Stegostoma tigrinum: one gene and its partner. The protein of the gene in region 1 purifies or fractionates together with the protein of each later gene. This does not show direct contact. Links are inferred from orthologs where the notes say so. Each region holds a gene or a part of one and is shown on either strand. Other genes may lie near its edges.

Evidence for each region.
Region 2: the proteins of llgl1 (region 1) and pard6b purify together in Homo sapiens (affinity purification with mass spectrometry; 5 studies listed by BioGRID and IntAct, counting the BioPlex papers as one, with this or other methods). This does not show direct contact. The link is inferred for Stegostoma tigrinum from reciprocal best matches to the Homo sapiens genes LLGL1 and PARD6B.

What each region holds. Positions count from the first base shown.
Region 1 is NC_081376.1:25,394,838-25,402,469, forward strand, and holds the start of llgl1 (lethal(2) giant larvae protein homolog 1), read right to left. Parts: upstream 3,151-7,632; 5' UTR 2,980-3,150; coding exon 2,899-2,979; intron 1-2,898. UniProt on the Homo sapiens protein: Cortical cytoskeleton protein found in a complex involved in maintaining cell polarity and epithelial integrity. Involved in the regulation of mitotic spindle orientation, proliferation, differentiation and tissue organization of neuroepithelial cells.
Region 2 is NC_081372.1:40,635,181-40,642,798, reverse strand, and holds the start of pard6b (partitioning defective 6 homolog beta), read right to left. Parts: upstream 3,116-7,618; 5' UTR 2,929-3,115; coding exon 2,866-2,928; intron 1-2,865. UniProt on the Homo sapiens protein: Adapter protein involved in asymmetrical cell division and cell polarization processes. Probably involved in formation of epithelial tight junctions.

The DNA.
Region 1 (7,632 bases):
CGTGTGGAGTTTGCACATTCTCCCCATGTCTGCATGGGTTTCCTCTGGGTACTCCGGTTTGCTCCCACAGTCCAAAAATGTGCAGGTTAGGTGGATTGGCTAAGCTAAATTGCTCAGTGTTCAGGGGTCTGTCGATTAGGTGGGTAAAGAGGGATGGGTCTGAGTGGGATGCACCAAGGGTCAGTGTGGACTTACTGGGTCAAAGGGCCTGTTTTCACACTGTAGGGGTTCTTAACAGCTAAACAGGTCAACTGAGAATCACAGTCAGAGCTCCTGCATGAAAAGTAGCCAGTGTCAAAACACAGGAGTGAGCAAACATCTTGAAAAGTGTTATGATTTCCTTTGACATTAGGGCTGTAACTTCCTCCTTCAGTGAAGAAAAATGACCTCAACCACATTGTATCAGTGATAATGAGAACTGCAGATGCTGGAGAATCCAAGGTGCAAAGTGTGAAGCTGGATGAACACAGCAGGCCAAGCAGCATCTAAGGAGCACAAAAGCTGACCTTTCGGGCCTAGGCCCTTCTAGGTCTAGGCCAGAAACATCAGCTTTTGTGCTCCTGAGATGCTGCTTGGCCTGCTGTGTTCATCCAGCTCCACACTTTGTTACCTCAACCACATCTTCTGTTTCCCACAGTCCTGCCCCCTCATCCTCATGGCTCCAATGAAAATAAAGACAGAATCCCCTTATTCTCATAGCACTCCAAGGGCCTGAACAAACCTTTCATATCCAACAGGGGATCACCTGCACATGCCAACTTGGTCTACTGTATCCACAGCTCCCAATGTGGCCTTCTCTACATCAGCAAGGCCAAGCAAGACTTGGAGACTGTTTCATAGGGCATCTGCTCCCTTCACTCAACAAACAATATCACCTTCCAGTTGCCAACTGTTAACTCCCACTTCCACACCCTGGGTGACATGACCATCCCAGGCCTCCTCCAGTGCTACAATGACAACGCCTGGAACCTGGCAGACAACACTTCACATTCCACCTCACAAACCTACAGCCCCATGGCCCAAATATGTAATTTAGCAGTTTTAAAATCTCCCCACCCCTGCCCTCATCCCCATCTCCTTGATGTCACACAACCTGTCTGTCTTATCTCCCACCTATCTACCCCAACCATCCCACTGACCAATGCCCACCACTCCCTACCTGCATTCACTCAACACCATCCCACATACCTTCACCAGCCCCACCTCTCCTGTTTATTTTCCAGCTCACGTCCTCCCATTTCTGAAGAAGGGTCCTGACCAGAAACATGAACTTTCCTGTTCCTCTGATGATGCCTGGCCTGATGTGCTCCTCCAGCTCCACATTTATCTGACGCCAGCATCTACAGTTCTTGCTATCTCATCTTGCAAAGTATGTCTGCTGTGAGAACAACATTTACAAGAGAGATTTGGAAGTGGGATGGTGAAAAGACATGTGCAATAGCACAAAATGCTTTCTAAACTGTGCTAAAGCCTTCTGTGCACAAACACCAGGTGCAGCCCGACACAACTTTTACACACATCTGGACTTTGCAGCACTGCACACTGTCGTTAAGCTGGCACCCCTTCTGGAACATGCCTATGCATAGAAGGTCTGGCAGCAATGTGGTATTATAGTCGAGGATGGTCCTGATGCAGCACAGCGATGAAGCATTTCCTGCGCTATGGGCTGTACTTTGGAAGGCTCAGAGATAAATCTCTGCACCTGGAAGGCCAGCACCACAGTGAAAGGTATTGTTGGTTTGCCCAAAGTGATGTTCCAGTGCAAAGAGGTGCCCTCAATCAAATGTTGCACAAACTGGCTTCCCCCCCACCCCAAGATTCAGGGCTACATGACAAGTGTGCTCTAAAGCTTGGGACATCCAATGCCCATCCAGTGAAGAAATGCCATTGTTTTGGAAAGTACATAGTTTCTGGTCACATTTGTTAAGTGCTCCAATTCTGAACTTTGTTAGAGGCATCCAAGCATTCAATGCTGAAATGAAATCTGTGACTTTACTCTTCAATTTACAGTTCAAGTTGGACATTACCAAAGTGTGCTAATATAGATAGTTATTGCTTAAAGTACCACCACAAAATTAATTAAGCATGTCACAATCAAGCTTGTCAAGCAATGCAAAGGCCAATAAATCACTGCCACTCTAAAACCAGCTCTCAGGACACATGATCTCACTGCAGTTCTCTCCTTTCCTTTACGTAAGGAGCCTTGCCAGGCATCTCACAATAACCAAAATTAATAACCTGACTTTTTAAAAAAGAAGCACTGAAGTTAAAGCCAAGGTTGAGGTGAAACACCTGTAAGGCAAAATTAATCAGAAGATAGGTGCAGAGGAACACGAGACCCTCTTTGAGGGTCACTGGCAAGAATTAGTTGCATTGGCACAGTGTGGGCATCAGAGACCAGACCAACATTTACTGTCCATGGCTCATGGCCTTTGAAAAAGTAGCAATGATGAACTGTCTTCAGAATTACAAGCAGGTGGCTTGATAGACCATTTGTTGAACAAGTTAACAGTGAGCCTATACCTGTACATGGCAATTGATGGCAGGCTCCTCCCCGAAAGTGAGCATCAGTTGTTACATTAATTACTCGCTTTATGGCTATCATTGCCAGCACTAGCATCAGTTGAGAATTTAAAGTCGCCGGCTATTATGCTGAGATTTGAACAAATCTTTAGGTCACTAGTTCAGACCTCTGGATTACTGGCTCTGTCACCCAAAGGTTAAAATATAGTTTCATCTCCCACTTACCCACGCCCCCTCCTCTACACCCCATCCCCCTTCGACCGTCCCTCCTTCCTCCCTCCCCACCCTCCACTATACCCTATCCCCCACCACCCTTATCCTCCCCAACCCCCAGGCCCTTGGCCTCCCCTCCCCTCCCCTCACCCACGCACCCACCTTATTGAAGGCGAAAAGCTCCAGTTTTAGTTTCTCCCGCTGCGGGTCGTTGCCCGGCCGTCGGAACCGAAACTTCATCATGATCCCAGGGATGGTATCTCGGTGGCAGGATCCCCACCCCGGTTTCGGTGGGCTAGCTCTGGTTGGTAAGATTCAAAGATTCTCTGTCCTCCGCCTCGCTTCTTTTTTAGGGGCGCGCGGCCGCCTCTGATCCTTTTGTGGCGGCTCCGACCCGTTAGCTCCGCCCCTGCATATACGGGCCGCCTATTGGCTCCTCCCACTGGATTGCCATCAGAGACCCCTCGTCGAGACCAATTAATGAGCAGAAGCCTCTTTCCCATGTGACCTGGGAACAACCAATCCACCTCTTGGTCCGTCTGTTCTTGCTGCATCCTGGGAAATGTAGTTTATACGGCAACAAACTTATTCAGCCGAGCTGATGCGATCAGAGGAGTTGCTGGAAAAGCTCAGCAGGTCTGCAAGCATCTGTGAAGAAAAAAATCAGAGTTAACGTGTCGGGTCCGGTGACCTCAGAAACTGATGGTATGGATGCTGCAGAGGAGCTTGCTTCCAACCTTTATCATTTCGTCCTATTACTTTTGTCCTCACGTAATTACCTAGCTTCTCCTTCACTTCATTCGAGCTATTGACCTTGAGCAGAGACCGCAGAATCTTAATTTCACTTTTTGGTTAAATTTCCTCGAAGATTCATGACTGTCATTGTTATGGCACCTGGAAACATCCTTGGTACATCTGCCCTGTCAACTGCTTTCATATTCTTATAGAGACTCAGTTTGTTTTGTTTTGGATAGGCATAACTCTCAAGTTCTAGTGTTATTCTTTTCAATTTGATTTATTACTGTCACTTGTACATAGATACAGTGAAAACTTTTGTTTAGCATGCATTACAGGCAGATCATACCATACAAAGTGCATTACAGAAATAGAATCTGGCTGTAGAGAACATAGAACATAGAACATAGAACAGTACAGCACAGAACAGGCCCTTCAGCCCACAATGTTGTGCCGACCATTGATCCTCATGTATGCACCCTCAAATTTCTGTGACCATATGCATGTCCAGCAGTCTCTTAAATGACCCCAATGACCTTGCTTCCACAACTGCTGCTGGCAATGCATTCCATGCTCTCACAACTCTCTGCGTAAAGAACCTGCCTCTGACATCCCCTCTATACTTTCCACCAACCAGCTTAAAACTATGACCCCTCGTGCTAGCCATTTCTGCCCTGGGAAATAGTCTCTGGCTAGAAGATGTAGAAAGAGCGAGATCAACAATAAATAAAAACCAAAAGAACTGCAGATGCTGTAAATCAGGAACAAAAACAAGTTGCTGGGAAAGCTCAGCTTTTCTGGCAGCATCTGTGACGAAAAAAATCAAAGTCACCCTTCCTCAGAACTTACGCTAGCTAACAAAAAGTCAATTTATATGCAGAAAATGGGGGTTAAGGTGTAAATGATGGGATAAAGGATAGATCCCAAAGAGAGAAAGAGTAGTTGGATCGACAAAGGAGTTGATAACGATCTGGCTGGTAGGGCTAATAGTTGTTAATGAGGAACAAAAACAAAGTCGCTGGAAAAGCTCAGCAGGTCTGGCAGCATCTGTGGAGGAGAGAAAAGAGTTAACGTTTCGGGTCTGGTGACCCTTCCTCACAACTGTTAATGAGGACTGTTACTGACTAACAGTCAGTAGTGTGTAATGGCAAGCTATGTGATGTAACAAGGCCTGGTGTGCGGGGTAGGGGGCTGGGACATGAGAGAGTCTAGGCCCTAAAATTATTGAACTCAGTATTGAGTCCAGAAGGCTGCAGGGTCCCCAAGTGGAAAATGAGGTGTTGTTCTTCCAGCTTGCACTGAGCTTCGCTGGAACACTGCAGCAAGCCAGAGACAGAGATGTTGGCCAGGGAACAGGGTGGTGTATTAAAGTGGCAGGCAGCAAAGTGGCAGCTCAGGGTCTTTTTTGCGAGCAAAACGTAGATGTTCTGCAAAGTCGTTACCTAGGCTACACTTTGTTTTCCCAATGTAGCAGAGCTCACATTGTGAGCAGCAAATGCAGTAGACTAGATTCTGGGAAGTGCAGGTGAAGTATTGCATCACCTGGAAGGTATGTTTGAGCCCTTAGATAGTGGGGAGGGAGGAGATAAATGGGCAGGTGTTACACCTTCGCCGGATGCAGAGAAAGGTGCCGTGGGACCATGGGGGGCAGTTGGGGTGACAGAAGAGTGAACTAGGGTTTCCCGGAGGGAACTGTCCCTCTGAAAGGCAGACCAGGGATGGGAGTGGAATACATGCTGGAGGTGATGGAAAAGGCGCCCGATGATCTTCTGGATGTGGATGCTGGTGAGATGGTAGGTAAGGACAAGGGGATCCCTATTGCTGTTGCGAGAGGGAAGAGAAGGGGTGACTGCAGAAGTGCGAGAGATGTGTAAGACCAAGTTGAGGGCCCTGTCGACAACAGTGCTGGAGAATCCTCGGTTGGGGAAGAATGTGGACATTTTGGAGGCTCCCTTGTCAAAGTTAGCATCAGAACATACACCACGGAGACAGAGGAACTGAGAGATTAGGACGGAGCCTTTACAGGAAGCGGGGTGTATAGTCCAGGTAACTGTGGAAGTCAGTGGGTTTATAGTCTATATTAGTGTGCAGTCTATCCCCAGAAATGGAAACAGATGTCAAGGAAGGGAAGGGAGGAGTCAGAGGTAGACCAGGTGAAAGTGACGGCAGGGGAAATTGGAAGTGCTTCAATTTCTCTGTTATCCTCACCAAATCAAACACTTATTTTCCAAGGACATGGCCTCCTTGTTCTTCTGACCAAATTATGCCACATTGCCTGAGAACTGGCTGACAGACCAGAAGCAGACTGAAAATAAATGTGTCTTTTTCCCAGGTGGCAGGCAGGCATGAGATGTGTGAGGCAGGAGTTAGTGCCTGGACCCTAACTATTCACAATTTTTATAAATTACTTGGATGAGAGAACTGACTGCAACATTTCCAAGTTTGCTGATTACACATAACTAGGCGGGATAGTGAGAAGGAAACTTCAGGGTGATCTAGATAAGTTTTGTGTTGGAAAACACATTGGCACATGCAGTTTAATGTGTGGAAATGTGAAATTATACACTTAGGTATGAAAAACAAAACGGCCGCGTGTTATTCAAATGGTGATATATTGGGAAATGTGGATGTACAAAGCAATCTTGATGTCCTTATAGGACAATCAATGCAAGTATAAACAGACTGGTGCAGCAAGCAATTCGGAAGGCAAATAGTATGTTGGGCTACAGAAATAGGGATGTCTTACTGCAAATACAGGCCTCAGTAAGACCACTCTTGGAGTATTTTACACGGTTTTGGTCTCCCTACCTAACAGAAGATATATTTGCTGCAGAGGGAGTTCAATGAAGGTTCACTGGTCTGAAAATGGGGATAGCAAGACTGTCATATGTGGTGCAATTGGCTTGACTGGCCTGTATTCTCCAGGGTTTCCCCTGTTTTGGATGTCTAAATCCAAGTATCACAGACTCAGAACAAGGGGTATACCATTCAGGACTGAGATGAGGAAATATTTATTCACTCAGACGGTGGTCAAACTGTGGGATTCTGTATCACAGAAACCTGGGTCACTGGGATATTCAGGAAAGATTGATTTTTTTAGATATTAAAGGCATCAAAGCATATGGAGAGAAAGTGGGAATGTGACATTGAGATTGAGGATCAATCATGATCCTATTGAATGGCAAATCAATCTTGTCGGGCCAAATGGCCTACTCCTGCACCTAATCTCTTTGTTTTTATGTTTGTATCTCACTTGCCTATAATAAAAGTCATTTTACTTTTACACACAGATCATTCATTAAGTTTAATGTCTTCTCGTATTTTACTGCAGTTTCTCAATTTAGTATTGTTTCCAAATTTTGAAATAGTACCTCTGTTTTTAGGCATTATATAGATATAAGTACTCTCAATTTTTAAATTAACTTTTAAAATGAATATTGGTTTCTTGATTGTTATCCATGGACCCTTGCTGTTAAAAAAAAAGGAGGCACAGTTGCAGAATGGTGCACTGACCTCTACATCACTGAGGCCAGATGCCAACTCTCCAACACCTCCACCTACCACCCTCCTGGACACCACCCCCGAGGACCAAAGCATCATCTTCCAAATCATCCACAATCTCATCACCTCAGGTGACCTCCCACCCCCAGCCTCCAACTTCATCGTTCCCCAACCCCGCACCACCCACTTCTATCCCCTTCACCAAATCCACAAACCTGCCATCCCTGGTCGACCCATTGTTTCTGCCCACTCCTGCCCCACTGAATTCATCTCCACCTATGTGGATTCCATTTTCTTCCCCTTGGTCCAGGAACTCCGTACCTATGTCCGTGTCACCACCCACGCCCTCCACATCCTGCAGAACTTCCAATTCCCCGGTCCCCAACACCTCACTTTCACCATGGACGTCCAGTCCCTTTACCCTGCATTCCCCATGCAGATGGCCTGAAGGCCATCCGCTTCTCACTGTCCCGCAGGCCCGACCAGTCCCCCTCCACTGACACCCTCATCCGTTTAACTGAACTCATCCTCACCCTCAATAACTTCTCTTTCAATTCCTCCCACTTCCTACAGACAAAGGGGGTGGCCATGGGTCCCGCATGAGCCCAAGCGAAACCTGCCTCTTTGTAGGTTAAGTGGAACAATCCCTCTTCCACACGT
Region 2 (7,618 bases), on another chromosome or scaffold:
TTCTAAAAGACAACCATGGGTGGGAGGGCTTTAAAATCTTAACCCATGTAATTTAACTCCACAGATCAATGCACGAAGCTCAATGATAATTATGCACTAACACAATCCAATCTGGAACTTAGAATGCAACTGTTACAGACCATAATTCTACAGTCTATCAAAATTAACATTTTATTTGTTTAGAGATAGTAGGAACTGTCGATGCTGGAGAATCTGAGATAACAAGCTGTAGAGCTGGATGAGCACACTAGGCCAGGCAGCATCAGAGGAGCAGAAAAGCTGACCTTTCAGGTCTGAACCCTTTTTCAGAAATGGGAGAGGAGAAGGCGCTCTGAAATAAATAGAGAGAGGGGAGTCAATGATAGAAGGTGGATAGAGGAGCAGATAGGTGAAGAGAAGATGGACAGGTCAAGGAGGCAGGAATGACGCCAGTAAGGGTGAGTGTAGGTAGGGAGTTGGGATGGGGGTTGGTCAGTGAGGGAGGGAGGAAGGGAGGGAGGGGCGAGTAGGTGGGAGAGAAAGCTGACAGGTCGAGGAGGCGGGGATGAACCAGGTCTTGGGATGAGGTCAGGGTTGGGGAGCTTTTGAAGCTTGTGAAGACCACATTGAGACCATTAGGCTGCAGAGTTCCCAAGCGGAATAGGAGGTGCTTTTTCTCCAGCCTTCGAGTGGCATCATGGAGGAGGCCCAGGATGGGCATGTCGTCCAAGGAGTGGGAGGGGAGCTGAAGTGGTTCGTGGCTGGGAGGTGTTGTTGTTTGTCACAAACTGAGCATAGGTGCTCCACAAAAGCAGTGTCCAAGCCTCTGCTTAGTTTCCCCAATGCAGAGGAGGCCACTTTGGGAACAACGGGTACAATATGCCACATTAGCAGATGTGCAAGTGAACATCTGTTTGATGTGGAAGATTTTCTTGGGGCCTGGGATGGAGGTGAGGGGGTAGGTGTAGGGATAGGTGTAGGGGCAGGTGTGGCAAGTCTTGCGGTTGCAGGGAAAAATGTTAGGGCTGGTGGGGCTAGTGGGGAGTGTGGAGCGGACAAGGGAGTCACACGGAGCAGTCCCTCCAGAAGGCAGATAAGGCTGGGGAGGGAAATATATCCTTGGCAGTGGGTCAGATTGTAGATGGTGGAACAGGCGGAGAATGATGCATTGAATCCAGAGGTTGATGAAGTGATCGTGGTTTGTTTCTACAAAGGTTTTAAAAGAGCAAATACTCCAGTTCACCTATAGACATGACAATATCCTAGATGTTTGAAGTCTGAAAAGGATATCATGTATTTTAAAACTAGGGGAGTTGGAAAAGGCAACGAATTCAATGCATCCAAAATATTATGAACAGAACAGAAGCCAATAAAATAAACTAAAAGTAACACCCTGAATCAGATCACTTAACTGAGAATATACAAGACGTTATCACTTTAATATTTTCTTTTTTTAAAAAAAATTCATTTTGGGATACGTATGTCACTGGGTAGGCTAGCATTTACTGCCCATCACTAATCATCCAGTTGGTAGTTAACCATCAACTATGTTGTTGAGGGTCTGGAGTCACATTTAGATCAAATCAGGGAAGGATGGCAATTTCTTTCCTTACAGGACATTAGCGAACCAGATTGGTTTCTCCAACAAATAACAGAAGCTCATGGTCATTATTACACCACTTCCTTTCTTCAACTAACTCTTGGACCAGCTATCTGACATTTAATCATTAAATTTTCTACATCAGACAATTTTACAATGCTAGAAATCTTCATTGTTCTTCAGAGATAGCAAGAACTGGTGGCTGAGGCAGATGCTGGAGGCAGAGTCAATATAGTCAGGACTGAAGAAGGATCCTAACCCTAAAACATTGATCACTTTTGTCAAGTTGCTTAATAAATTACCAATACATTCAATTTGAAGCAAATATAACATTAGTATATTTACTACCTTCCACTTCAACAGAAACATATGGATTTCTTACACATTCAAGTTGTTTTGTGATTGGGATAAATTGGGAGCCCATCCACTCTGGGCATCAGTAGATAAACATTTAAGTACATAGGAAACATGGTCTAATTAAGGAAGTTGTGATCAAGCCATTTATGCGATGAGAGAGTTTTGGATGTAGTTAAGTCTATTCAGACAGGCAATGATTGCTAATATTACAATAAAATAGCCAAATTGTTTGCACACAAAGTAGGTTTCTGTCAAAAAACCAGTCAAAAATTTTCATTCTGACAACTTAATACACTTAATTCTGTTTATTTTAAATACATTAATTCACATTGAAATAAAACACAAGTTAGTAAGATCTGACAAACAACAAGAAAATTTTTATAAGCCTGTGTGCATCTAGTGCAGATTGCTTTCTTTTTGGGCTGAAACCGATCAACTTACATAGGATCGTCAAATTCCCTTTCCATTTTAACCAGCTTCCAGACAAATCCTTATGGGAACACGAATTTTAGCTACATCGCTAATTGCTTTGTGTTGGCATTTACAAGCCTCTTTACTACGAAATTTCTTACAAAAGCAAGAAGCATTAAAATAACACGCAATGAACTGCACAAAAACTTGTTACCGCCGCCGGCTGTTCTCTGAAAGATCTCGACGCCTTTATTACTTCCTTGAACTGTACTGTCACCTGTTCCAACTCCCAATAAACAAACCGTAGAAAAGAACATAAAATATTGCTCTAAAATCTCCTTTTGGAACAGGCCTGTATCTGACCGTCAGATTGAACCTTGACCTCAGCAGCCTGCTGACAGATCCTATGCCAACATTAGCCGGGGCCGTGGTATTAATTTCCCTACAACTACTGACTGGCAAAGCACGAAGTTCCCTCCGCCTTTCCTCGGACATTGCGCCTCCTTATACACACACACCTTACTCTTCACCTCCACGGTCTCCAGGCTTCTGGACGCCGTCCGGTGATGAGTCTTGATCATTTTCGGAAGAACGTTTGTTGGCCGTTTTCGTGCCAACTGCTCGCCCGATCTTCCAAGGGCAGCAATTTGAATCGGCCCGAGTGCAATGAGGGAGATGGTGGGGGTAAAGTACGTAAAAGATCCGGGACTAATCTCAGACCCTCGCCAAACTCGTTCGAACACTGGTTCCGCCGCCTCCAGCCGGTTAGTAGCGGCTGCGCGTGCCCAGTTCCTCCTCCACCCACCCGCAGCTCAGCCTCGCGCCCCCTCCTAACGACCGGCAAACTCCGACTTCGTTACCAGATGACGTCACTCGCCCCGGAAACCCAGCCTCGGTTTCACCTGTGTGTGTACGCGCACTCAACCCGCTGCATTATTTCGAGCGGACACCCGTTCATTCTATTGTCTGAAGAAGGATCTGGGCCCGAAACATCAGCTTTCCTGCCCCTTTGATGTTGCTTGACTTGCTGTGTTCATCCAGCTCTTACACCTTGTTATCTCAGATTCTTCAGCAGCTGCAGCTCCTACTCTTTAGTTCCCTTGTCCGCCCGGCCTTCGTGCATTTTTAAAAGCGCGCGCCCCCGGCGGTGGTTGACACCATCGCGCGTCCAGGTGTCAGACATGCCTTGAGGAAGCAGGTATCAAGTAGGTGTCTGGGATGACATCCCAAGAGTAACAGCTGAAGCAAAAGTTTTTCAAAGTTCAGTGAACAAGTTTGAAACTTCTGCTATCTGTTCGGCATAATTATCCTAACTTTACTGATAAATGTAAGAAAGCCTAAAATGAAAGACTTAGTCCGCATCATCACCTTAGAAATGAATATTCTCTTTTCAGATGCTATTTAAAGGACCTTTAGTTAATGTTGTGGATTTTATGCTTTGTATTATTTGATTTTCATTCTTCGATCAAATGCTTGCGGCCGAAGCTAATTAAAATCAGTTTCACTAACGATTTTAAAGTTTTCAGAATTTTTCCCCCGTTTTGTTGGTCCTTTCCAGACCCTAGTCGTTCTCAACTGTTAAAACTCAATTTTCCTTCCCGAATGTTCTTCCCTACTCCGTCGCCATCGCACATTGACTTAAGCTCTTGGAGAGGGAAAAAAAATAGTGACTGTCGAGATATAAAAACAGCTAGAGTTCTACAACGGAAGAGTGTAATTAACGTTGATCCCATCAGAAATTGAGATTGGGAAAGTATAAATCCAAGCAAATAGAAGTAGGACCTTTAGAAAGCTATAGCACTATCGATCTGAGTGAGCATAATTTTATTATAGGGAAATGATTTTTGACATTTTATTTGATGATTTCAGAATGTGATAAACAGGATAAATAAAAGAGAACTAGCAGATGTAGTGATAATAAAATGTGAGGCTGGATGAACACAGCAGGCCAAGCAGCATCTCAGGAGCACAAAAGCTGACGTTTCGGGCCTAGACCCTTCATCAGAGCAGGCCAAGCAGCATCTCAGGAGCACAAAAGCTGACGTTTCGGGCCTAGACCCTTCATCAGAGGGTCCTCTGATGAAGGGTCTAGGCCCGAAACGTCAGCTTTTGTGCTCCTGAGATGCTGCTTGGCCTGCTGTGTTCATCCAGCCTTACATTTTATTATCTTGGAATTCTCCAGCATCTGCAGTTCCCATTATCTCTAGCAGATGTAGTGAACTTGAACCAAAAGGTGCTCAGAAAGGTGCCACCTAAAGATGTTATTGCACAAGATAACAGCTTGAGGTGTTGGGATAATATATTAACATGGATTGAGGATTGGTAATTCAACAGGAAATAGAGAGTTGGGATAACAGACCATTTTCTATATGAATCTGTAATTGATACAGTACCACAGGAATCAAACTATCACAAAAATGAGAGTTGGATCCCCAACCAATAATGAAAACGATGCTTTTATCTCCACTCTCTGCCTTCTATAAGTCAGCCAATTGTTTGTCTATGCCAGTACCTTGCCTCTGTCAGGACTCATTTAACAGCAACCTGTGCAGCACACTGTCATAGACCTCCTGGAAATCCAAATACATAATCTGCTGACTCTCCTTCGTCTAACTTGCTTGTTACTCCTCACAGAATTCTAACAGATTTGTCTGGCATGACCTGCCCTTGACAAAGCTGTCCTGACACAGCCCTATTCTACCATGCACTTTCATGTACTCTGCAAACTCATCCTTAATAATTGGACTTAACTAGCCTATGTTTTCTTGTCTTCTGTCTCCCTGCCTTCTTAAACAGAGGTATTACATTAGTCTTTTCCCAGTCCCGTGGGTGCTCCCTGACTCCACTGATGGCTGGAAGATCAGCACTAATGCCTCCACAATCTCCTCAGCTATCCTCTTCAGAACCCTGGGGTGTAGTCCATCTGGTCTGGATGATTTATCCACTTTCAGACCTTTTAGCTTCCCCAGCACCTTCTCTTTAATGATGCTTACCTCTGCCCCCTGATTCTCTTGAGTCCACTCTGAAATAACTACAGACAGGCAGATATCCCATCACAAAGTCACCCATTATTTACACATGGAAAGTCCTTGACGGTGGTACAGCCTCAAAAGAGTCAACTCCCAGAGTGTTGGGATATCTGACACTTCTGTTTTTACCTGTCAGCAAGGGATCCCTGCTTGAACCAGATTATCAGCCCCAATCAGGGAACTCATATTCTTTGAAGTCCACCTGGCTGACCTCATTGCAATCATTACACATTCGTGCCACTCTTTTACCTCTTACATATCTGAAAATACTTTTGTAGTCTTAATTTGTTACTAACTAGCTTGGCCTCATATTTCATCTTCTCCCCTCTTATTGTGCTTTTAGTTATTGCTGGTTTTAAAAGGTTTCCCAACCCTCTGGCTGCTCACTAATCTTCACCACATCATTTTGTTTTTGCTTTTATGCTGTCTGTGACATCCCTTGTCAGCCACAGTTGCCTTGTTTCTTCTTCCTTAGGATGAATTTCTGCTGTGACTCCCACATCACCCCTAAAAACTCCTGCTGTTGCTGCCCCACTGCCTGCTCTCCTGGGCTCCCCTTCCAACTAACTCTGGCCAGCTTCCGGAGCATGTCTTTGTTGTTATCTTTACTCGATTATAATACCATTACATCTGATTCCAGTTTCTCTCCCTCAAACTGCAGAGTGAATTCTATCGTATTACGATCACTGCCTCATGGGGTTTCTTCACCTTTAGCTGCCTAATCAAGTGTGCCTCATTATACATCACCAAATCTATAGTTGCCTGTTCCCTACTGGGGTCTGCTACAAGCTGCATCAAAGGACCATATTGTAGACATTCTACAAATTCCTTTCCTTGGGATCTGCTACCAACCTGCTTTTCCCAGTCTACGTGCATTTTGGAGTACCCATCATTTTTGTAAAAGTGCCTTTCCTAATGTGTCCTTTCTATCTGCTGATTTATTTTCTTCCCCAAATCCCGACTACTGCTGGAGTCATGTGATTTTCTCCTTTGCCATTCCTCAATACAGATTACATGTCTTGCTCTATATCACTTCTTGCTATTGATTTAATTTCATTTATTACTAACAAGACTGCTCAGCCCCCTGTGCCCATCTGCCTGTTCTTTCCATAGGACATGTATCTTTGAATATTTAGTTCCTAGCCCTGTTCCTCTTGCAGCCACATCTCTGTGATCCCCACAACATTGTACCTGTCAATTTCAAACTGTGCAAAAGCTTATTTACCTTGTTTCATATGCTGCATGCATTTTCGTACAACACCCTCAGTCCTGTGTTAATTCCACTCCATCGCTGCCACTTCTCATAGTTGTCCCCATATCTGCTATACCTGAAGTTGGATTCCTGACACTTTCCATCCTCTTTGTCTTATTATTTATTCTGGAAACTTTAATAACCTCTGCTGAGTCCTACCCTCAGCCTTAAACTTTTTCCATAATTTTCTACATAATTGCAATTGAACCCCTTCCCCCCCATTGCTATTTAGTTTAAAGTCATAGTTATGTGATTCACCAAGACTGTGCCCAGCATGATTCAGGTGGAGCCTGTCCCATCTGAACAGTTCCCTCATTGCCCAGGACTGGTGCCAATGTTCAATAAATTTGAACCCATTTCTCCGATACCAGTCTTTGAACCACACGTTTACCTCTTTAATCTTGTTGCACCTGTATCAGTTAGCCTGTGGCTCATGTAGTAATCTGGAGATTATCATCTTTTTGGTTCTGAGTTTTAATTTGTCCCCGAGCTGCTCTATGCCCTCTTTCTACCAATTAACATTGGTACCTATGTGGACCGTGCCAACTGGATCATTCCACTACCACTCCAAGCCTCTTTGCAGCTCAGCTGAGATATCCTGAACCTGGGAACCTGGCAGGCAACTCAACCTTCAGGTCCCTGGATCCTGGCCATAGAGAACAGTGTCTATTCTCCTAACTATACTATCCCTGATTACAATTACTTTTCTCTTTTTTTCTCTCCTCTTGAATGTCTCTCTGTTCAATGGTACTATGGTCAGTTTGTTCATCCTCCCTTTCTCATCCATACAGGAAGTAAAAATGTCAAACATGTCAGACAAGGTCTCGGTTAAATCCCCTTCAGCACTACCCTCTGCACATTCCTCTACTTGCCTCACTCATAGTCACACCCTCTTGTCCTTGACCACTGACCAAATTTGAGGGGTGTGACTGCTCCTGAAACAGAGCATCCAGGCAACTTTTCACCCTCCCTGATGTGATGCAGTCTTCA